Saccharomyces cerevisiae S288C: one gene and its partner. The main gene of each other region encodes a partner of the protein of the gene in region 2 in a complex. Each region holds a gene or a part of one and is shown on either strand. Other genes may lie near its edges. The genes, in order: RNR1 and RNR4. A codon is read from its position in the direction of its gene.

Region 1 (5,054 bases), on a different chromosome or scaffold from region 2:
GAAAATACGTATTCTTCTCTCTATTAGCGGATACCGTCTTGCAGTTTTACAAAACGCACTGTAAATTATTTAGGATAAGTGAAAGTAAGTGATTACGAAAGTCAACAAAAAAATGAGTATGCAGATTGAAATAAAGGATGGAAGGAGTGATAACTCTCCTCTGCCCGAAAGAAAACTAGTTACGTTAATTCAAGAAAGTTATGATAGTTTAAAAGATGACAATGAAATCAATTTATCGACCGAATCAACTTCCAACCTTCTTATAAAACTGGTCCTAGAAAAACTTGAAAAGCACTCTTCTTTGTATAAATATATTGCCTCGGTAACGACGTTGAACATTGAAGGACTCAACGAAGAAAACGCTAATTTCTCATTGAAGAACGATATAGGCGCATCCTGGGAATCTAAAAAAGATGGTATATTCAACTATAAACTAGAAGACAAAAATAATAATGAGTGCTATTTAATTACAATTCTTTGGCTTCACAAGTAGATATGTATTTGCTTTAATGTTGCCACATAAAGTTGCGTTCCTTTATAGAACAATGTTGCCTAGACCCCATTTCGGGGCAGGGGGGAATCTGTATCATGGCCTTCTTACAAGGACAGCTTAAAATGTTCATGTTAAATTATTCGACTTTTTTTATGTATATATGCAAAGTAGAAAAATAATTAGTAAACATATATAGGTACCTTTTAGCTTGGCATTAGAATGGAAACCAATTTTTTTATCAGAGAAAACAAAAGAAAATATAAATTACACCTCGAAGTAAACACCCAAATTTTGATAAATAGAATTGAAGAAATAAAAACTTAGCCCTCATTAACCCGAACACATTTCACAAGCTTCTGGGTTATCAATAGCACATGCTATAACCTTAGAGTTGTAAATGTCGAACTCGGTTTCCTCATCATCAACGATGGGGGCAGCTTTTTCTTCATTCTTAGTTGGGGCAGGTACTTCAGGAACTTCTACCTTAGACTCTTGAACGTTTAATTCTGCCATTCCTTTAGTTAATGAGTGGCTACCTGTTGGAGCTGGAGATGCCTCTCTTGAAGCTTCCGAGGAGCTATCTAGAGATGGAATAGTTGCGTTTGCAGTCACAGCTGCGGGCACGAAATCGCTGGCAGCGTAGCTTGCACTGGAAGGCATATATGATGGACGCTTCAAGTTGGAAATATCAGCAACGTTTTCTGTAGCTTGATCCGCAATCTTCTGATCAATAGTAAATTGAATTGCAGCAGATGCAGCTTGGGTTCTCAAATAGTACATACCGGTCTTCAATCCCTTCTTCCATCCGTAAAAATGCATACTTGTTAGTTTACCCATAGTTGGGGCACGTAAGAACAAATTCAAAGAATGAGATTGATCAATATAGACAGAACGATCGGCTGCCATGTTAATGATAGTCTTTTGTGAAATTTCCCAAACAGTCTTGTATAAGTCCTTCAATTCTTGTGGAACGTTTGGTAAGCCTTGAATGGAGCCATTTTGTGTAATCAGATACTGTTTCATACCCTCATCCCAAATACCTAAATCAACCAAGTCACGCAGTAAGTAAGGGTTCACAACCTGGAATTCACCGGATAAGACACGACGGGAGTACATATTGGAAGTGACTGGTTCGAAACATTCATTATAACCCAATATTTGGGATGTGGATGCAGTAGGCATTGGTGCCATGGTCAAGGAATTTCTAACACCATGCTTCATGATATCTTTTCTTAAGGTGTCCCAATCCCACATGCCGTAGGGTTTTTGGTCCCACATATCAAACTGTAGTATACCTTGAGAAGCAGGAGATCCTTGGAAAGTTTCGTATGGACCGTCCTTCTGAGCTAGTTCACAAGAAGCTTCCATGGAGGCATGATAAATAGTTTCAAAGATTTGGATATTTAGCAAACGGGCTTCCTCAGAATCAAATGGCAAACGTAACAGCATGAAAGTGTCAGCGAGACCTTGAACACCCAAAGCAATTGGTCTATGTCTCATATTGGATTTTCTCGCTTCTTCAACAGGGTAGTAATTACGATCAATGACTCTGTTTAAATTACGAGTAACAACTTTAGCAATTTCATGTAATTTTTTGAAGTTGTATGTGGAAGTCTTACCATCCTCAGAAGTTTCAATGAATGCTGGTAAGGCAACGGAAGCCAAGTTACAAACAGCAGTTTCATCTGGAGCTGAGTATTCAACAATTTCACAGCATAAGTTTGATGACTTGATGACACCTAAGTTTTTTTGATTAGATTTTCTGTTACAAGCATCCTTGTAAACAACGAAAGGTGTACCAGTTTCAGTTTGAGCTTCCAAAATGGAATACCATAATTTTTGGGCTTTGATAGTCTTACCACGACCTTCTTTCTCGTAGCGGGTATATAGAGCCTCAAACTCGTCACCGTAACAATCGCTTAAACCAGGAGCTGATGTTGGAGAGAATAATGTCCAGGTCCCATTTTCTTCGACACGCTTCATGAAAAGATCAGGAATCCATAGAGCAGGGAACAAATCTCTTGCACGAATTTCCTCTTTACCGTGGTTCTTCCTAATATCAATAAAATCAAATATATCAGCATGCCATGGTTCCAGGTAAAGGGCAAACGCACCAGGTCTTTTATTACCACCCTGGTCAACATAACGGGCAGTGTTATTGAAAACACGAATCATAGGAATTAAACCGTTAGAAGTACCGTTTGTACCAGCAATGTAAGAACCAGTTGAACGAATGTTATGGATATGTAGACCAATACCACCAGCAGTTTTGGAAATCAAAGCACATTCCTTCAAGGTGTCGTAAATCCCCTCGATAGAGTCCTCCTTCATGGCAACCAAGAAACAAGAGGACATTTGAGGTTTTGGAGTACCGGCATTGAACAACGTTGGAGAGGCGTGAGTAAAATATTTTAGAGACATCAAGTTATACGTTTCTAAAGCAGCCTCGATATCTCTACCGTGGATGCCTAGTGCGACTCTCATAATTAAATGTTGTGGACGTTCGGCCACTTGACCGTTGATTCTTAGTAAATAAGAACGTTCCAAAGTTTTAAAACCAAAATAACTGTACTGAAAATCTCTGTCATAGACAATTGCGGAGTTCAATTTATCCTTGTTTTCCATGACAATATTGTAGACATCATCAGAGATCATGGGAGCGGGCTTACCAGTAGCAGCATTGACGTATCTATAAAGATCTTCGACAACCTTAGAAAATTGTTTTGTGGTTTGTTTATGTAAATTAGAAATGGCAATTCTGGCCGCTAGGGTGGCGTAATCTGGATGAACAGTAGTCATATAAGCGCATGTTTCAGCGGCTAAGTTGTCTAGTTCGATTGTTGTGACACCTTCATAGACACCAGAAATGATACGTTGGGTGACCTTAACGGCGTCGATATGTTTTGGATCTAAACCATAGCATAAGCGTGATATACGAGCGGTAATCTTATCGAATTGGACAGGTTCTTTACGACCGTCTCTTTTATAAACGTACATGATGTTAATATATCAACAAATAAAGTGTTGTTCGTTGGTGTCTCTCTTGCGTTGAAAAGGATGAAAAGGATGAGATATGCTTCAATTATGGTAGAGTAATTTTCCAACAATGAAATATTAGCTCCTTTATATAATTTTTATTCAATGGTACTGACTTAACAAAGGCAACAAGATAAACTCTAAACTTGTTATTCTAAAACGTGAGCTGCAGACTTTGTTGGAGGTTTCTATCAAACACGAAACTACCTACGCCAACCTATTCTTTCTACACTATATGAAAAAAATTTCCATATCGTTTTTACGCGTCCTCTATTCAACACCCAATAAGATTCTGCAAGGATTTCTGTGTCCTGAGGATCAAAATGACGCGTTTACTTAGAATTTCAAAAAAAGAAGCAATTAAAGTAACAGAGGATGAACTTACCCGACACTGTTTACGCGTTTTTTCTTTTTAAATTTGATTTGGGTGCCATATAATGGGATAAAACGCGTAAACAAGCTCGTTCCAGGGCTACGAAATATTTCTACCCAGAAGTGGTCGTAAAATAATTAACGATAGTAAACAAAGGCCATAGAAAGTTCAGCATTGACTTGGTAACGAGATTTTCCCCAATGGAATTCCTTTGTATGAAAGATTCTCCTGAAGAGTAATTCTGCCAATCAGTACATTTCTATGGTAACGCCTTTGTTTACGATATCCAAATGCGGCAATCCTTCTCTGTTGTGGTGATGTCGTGATACCATAAAGTGGTATTATAATTTTGGATGTAAGGAGATCAAAGATCTTGAAATCAATAATTATTCTTATGGCTACTCAAAATCAATACATGAGAAGCACTATTTTTAGACCATGTCCTACTTCGTTATTTAATGGATATATATATATTTATATATTTATATACGTTAATGTCTCATGTGACTGAGCTGCAGATCTACTATACACAGTGATCAGACACCAATAATTTTATTTTCAGGGATACCAGCATACTCTCCATAACCCATAGCAAGATTAATATTTTGCAGACATTGAGTAGCGGCGCCTTTAAGTAAGTTATCGATGGTTGCGCAAACAACTACACGATCTTCAGCATCATTCAGCTTGAAACCACCAATAACTACACCATGGGTGCCCTCAATATCTTTAACCAGTGGGATATCATCGATGACATGTACTAGCTTTTCGTCTTCGTAAAAATTTCTGTATAATTTCCTGATCTCATCAATAGACAAGGAACCTTTTTTTATTGGAATAGAGACGGTCAAAGAGATACCTTGAAACCACTGCCCAACATGGGGCATGAATGCAACATTGTGCCCAATGCGAGCTGAGATTTCGCGTTCGTGTATATGATCACTTAAAGCGTAAGGAATTAAGTTATTGTTCAAGAATTTGGGATCGTTTTTTGGAGAAGGCTTCGTCCCCGCGCCTGAATACCCTGAAACACCAAACACAGTTGGAAGACCATTGATATACTTTGTTAACGGAGAAATAGTTAATTGCGAACCAGTAGCATAACAACCGGGATTAGCAATTTTGGCAGCGTTTGCAATTTTTGCTCTATCA
Region 2 (3,609 bases):
ATCATTCACATTCATGAGAATGCTGCTATCGCTTTCAGAGGAACTTCGGTTGGGTGACAGATCCATGGCCTGGCCATTGTTAATTGAATCATTTTCAATATTTTGTAAAAAATTATCTCTATCAGCTGCCATACAGTATACGTAGCACTAGTATCGCTTGAATTATTCGTCCATAGGGTGCAAGTTACCTCATCCATTGTTGCTATGTACCTCTATCTGTATTAACTTCGAGGTAGTAAACAAATGGGTGGACCGTATTGTGACTCTCCGGGTAACAAAAATATGTTATTTAAATGAAATGACCGGGATGATGGTACTCTCTGAATCTTTCCCTTATCTACCTACAAGAAAATGGCAAATATTGTCATAATAAATATAAAAAAAAACTGTAGTTTCTTTTTAAATTTTTCTACTTAAGTTTAGTTATACTGTACCTAGGTATATATAAATATATATAAATAAAAGTGGCCAAGAATAAAAGAACGCACCCCGTCGTTGACTTAGAAGTCATCATCAAAGTTAATTTCCTTGGATGGGGTAGCGGACTTAGACATGTCACTGGCCTTTTGGTAGTCGGAAACCTTCTTTTCAAAGAAGGTGGTCTTACCAGCGGTAGCGACATCCTCCATGAATTCGAATGGGTTGACGGCGTTGTAGTATTTTTCGTTACCGAAACCTTGTAATAGACCGTCAGCGACAAATTCTATGTAGGTGTGAATGCTCTTCAAATCCATACCAAATTTTTCTACTGGCAAAGAGTTTGAGTAGTATTCCTTTTCAATTTCCACGGCTTCGGTAATGATTTTTTCAATGATCTTGGGGTTTGGCTTGGTTCTCAAATGGGCAAATAGCAAGCATGAAAAGTCAGTGTAGGCACCTCTGTCTCTACAGATGTTTCTGTTGGCCATTGCTAAACCTGGCATAATCTTTTTGTCAGTCAACCAGAACATAGAAGCATAGTTACCAGCTTGGAAAATACCTTCCTTTGCAGCAAATGCTACTAGTCTTTCAGCATACAAGCTGTCATCGTTGGAAATCCATCTCTCGATGAAAGCAGCCTTATGCTTGACTTCAGGCAAATTGGCAATTTCCTTGAATAGAGGGATGTTCTTAGGGTCCTTGAAGAAGGCATCAACCATCATGGAGTAAACTTCAGAGTAGATGTTTTCCATCATAATCTGGAACCCGTAGAAACTCTTACCTTCAGGGTTTTGCAATTGGGCAGAAAAGTTTTCGATCAAGTACTTGTTGACAAGGTTGTCAGAAGAAATGGACAAGGCTAACAAGTTACCGATGTAGGTCTTCTGGTCATCAGTCAATTTTTGGAAATCTTCAGTGTCCTTAGCCAATTCGATTTCTTCCGCAGTCCAGAAAGAGGCTTCAACCTTCTTGTAAGCAGCCCAGATTTCGTGGTATTTGATAGGGAACATCACGAATCTACGGCTGTTTTCCATCAAAAGGATTTCATCCTTTTCAGCTTCTTTCATATCATGACGTTCTTTTTGGAAAGTCTTCAAAAATTGGTTATGTGCTTCCATTGTAATAACTAATTGTGTGCGTTGCGCGGGGTTGTGTGGCTCAAAAAGATCTGTTTTTGTATTAGCAATTTTTTATTTCCCTTTTTAAATGAATTTTTTTTCTTTCTGTTTCGAGACAAGGCCTTTTGCAAAAAAAAAAAAAGTAAAAAAGTGAAATTTGATAGTGTAAGGGGACAGAGGTGGGGTCAGAAACCAATGTATCTATTGATAGTCTTTTTTTGATCGAAAAGCCAAGAGACAAAAAATGAAGAAAATGAGAGATAAGGAATGAAACTTTAGGAACATTGAAGATTCAATCGCCGTTTTTATACGCCAGAGCTTCATGAGACCAAGGAAGGAACGGACGTCGTCTACCGATTACAGTAAGCAAAGAGGATGGTGTTGCCACAACAACGCCCATCGGGAAGGCAAGAGACGCTGTGGTGAACAATAACTGCCAAAACGTGGTTCTCGCACGCTGAAAAGCGCGTTCTCGTGCGCCGCTTTCAGTGTGCTAGAACTTGCACTGTCCGGTTTCCGGTGCTTGGTGTTGGGTGGTCGTACCTGCTAGTTCCATTGGTGCGGTGTATGGGCGGGTACCCTCAAAAAGGGAAACGAAGGTAGGCGCACGGTGCTTATTAAGCTCAGAGGCGACCTCGCAGAAGGGGGCAGACCACACAAGCGGTGGAGGCGCTCCAGATATTCAGTGGAGTGGGGCTTGCTCATGTTCTGTTGTTGGTTTTGGATAGAAAAAGAGCGGGTTGAATAGTTTGCCATGGCAACCACTCTGGAAGCGAAATCACATAGACGCGTAAACACTCACACACAGGATATTCGTATAGCAAGGTACTAGTGGCGACACTCAGGTGGTCCTCGTTGCCTTATCTCCAGATTCCTCAATTTCTGTGAAACGTAAACATTATGGGAATAGTCTAGACGCGTACTTCATTTTCTTTGTTTCGTGAAAAGTACACTTTCCCGTCTTCGCCGGTTCCCTTTCTTGCCTGAAATGCTCGTTCTAATGGAAAAAAAAAGAAATAAAGGTGGGCCTGCCCATTAGCAGGAAATTGGTACTTAATTATTGAAAAAAAAATTATTGGTTGCTAAGAGATTCGAACTCTTGCATCTTACGATACCTGAGTATTCCCACAGTTAACTGCGGTCAAGATATTTCTTGAATCAGGCGCCTTAGACCGCTCGGCCAAACAACCACTTATTTGTTGAAAGCGAGCGCGGTACAAGTAATGTTACCTCATCTGATATACAATAAAGGTGGAGCGCCAATATATACGCATTTGACTGTTCATAATTCATTGAATATAATTTATTCCTTGTTAGTACAAAAGGGTTAAACAGAAAAAGACGTGACGTTGTAACCGAGAGGATGGTAACACCGCGGTATCACCCACTCGCCCAGCCGTTAAATCCAATCATCCGAATAAAATGTTTGTCCTTGCTAGTTTGTCCTGGTGATAAAAGCCATGACCACTTTTCTTGGAGCCTGCATCTGTTATCTCTCCCGTCGATAATGGACTTTGCACCGGTGTATTACCCGCAAGAATTCTGATAACGTTCAAGCTAAAACAAAACTGCTAAATGAGTTCTGAAATGGCATTTATGAGTACATATGATAGATTTGCTATGTATCAAACCTGGAACTGGCGCTAGCGCTATGGTTTCACTTCCTCATTAAACCATACCCTTGACGATTTGACAGGTCGCTACAGATTCAGAAAGAGATCATATCAATACAACAAATAAAATATAAGCGAATAAAGAGCAATGTCTTTCCCCTTTAGTCACATTACTAGCCAACGCTAATTCTTGATCTCCTTCCTCTTGTTTCCGGTGTATCTTAGTTTTCCTGGCGTTGCCGAAGAGTAAAAAAATCCTAGGTCCTAAGATTTATAAAATCGACAAAAAGAGGATTCAAGTAGGATATCTGTCAGTTCAAACCAATCAATCTTTTCTCTCCAACAACAGTTTGAGCTTATTTAATCAAGAAAATGGGTCTATCATCTATCTTTGGCGGCGGTGCACCATCACAACAAAAGGAAGCAGCCACTACTGCAAAGACAACCCCAAACCCTAT

The links.
Region 1: the proteins of RNR4 (region 2) and RNR1 are in contact, whole or in part, in a crystal structure (PDB 1ZZD), measured with the Saccharomyces cerevisiae proteins. Residues at the interface, in NP_011696.3 of Saccharomyces cerevisiae: Asn340 (codon at 521), Phe341 (codon at 518), Asp342 (codon at 515), Asp343 (codon at 512), Asp344 (codon at 509), Phe345 (codon at 506); in NP_010993.1 of Saccharomyces cerevisiae: Glu343 (codon at 2,464), Ser691 (codon at 1,420), Gln692 (codon at 1,417), Lys693 (codon at 1,414), Ile696 (codon at 1,405), Leu716 (codon at 1,345), Met721 (codon at 1,330), Gly722 (codon at 1,327), Lys723 (codon at 1,324), Thr725 (codon at 1,318), Ser726 (codon at 1,315), Met727 (codon at 1,312), Phe729 (codon at 1,306), Tyr730 (codon at 1,303).

What each region holds. Positions count from the first base shown.
Region 1 is NC_001137.3:297,386-302,439, reverse strand, and holds RNR1 (ribonucleotide-diphosphate reductase subunit RNR1), read right to left. Parts: upstream 3,491-5,054; coding exon 824-3,490; downstream 1-823. Other genes in the region: TDA2 (Tda2p), read left to right, coding at 113-493; ARG56 (bifunctional acetylglutamate kinase/N-acetyl-gamma-glutamyl-phosphate reductase), read right to left, coding at 4,439-5,054.
Region 2 is NC_001139.9:854,764-858,372, forward strand, and holds RNR4 (ribonucleotide-diphosphate reductase subunit RNR4), read right to left. Parts: upstream 1,539-3,609; coding exon 501-1,538; downstream 1-500. Other genes in the region: OKP1 (Okp1p), read right to left, coding at 1-132; protein translocase subunit TIM13, read left to right, coding at 3,524-3,609. UniProt on the Saccharomyces cerevisiae protein: Provides the precursors necessary for DNA synthesis. Catalyzes the biosynthesis of deoxyribonucleotides from the corresponding ribonucleotides. RNR4 is required for proper folding of RNR2 and assembly with the large subunits.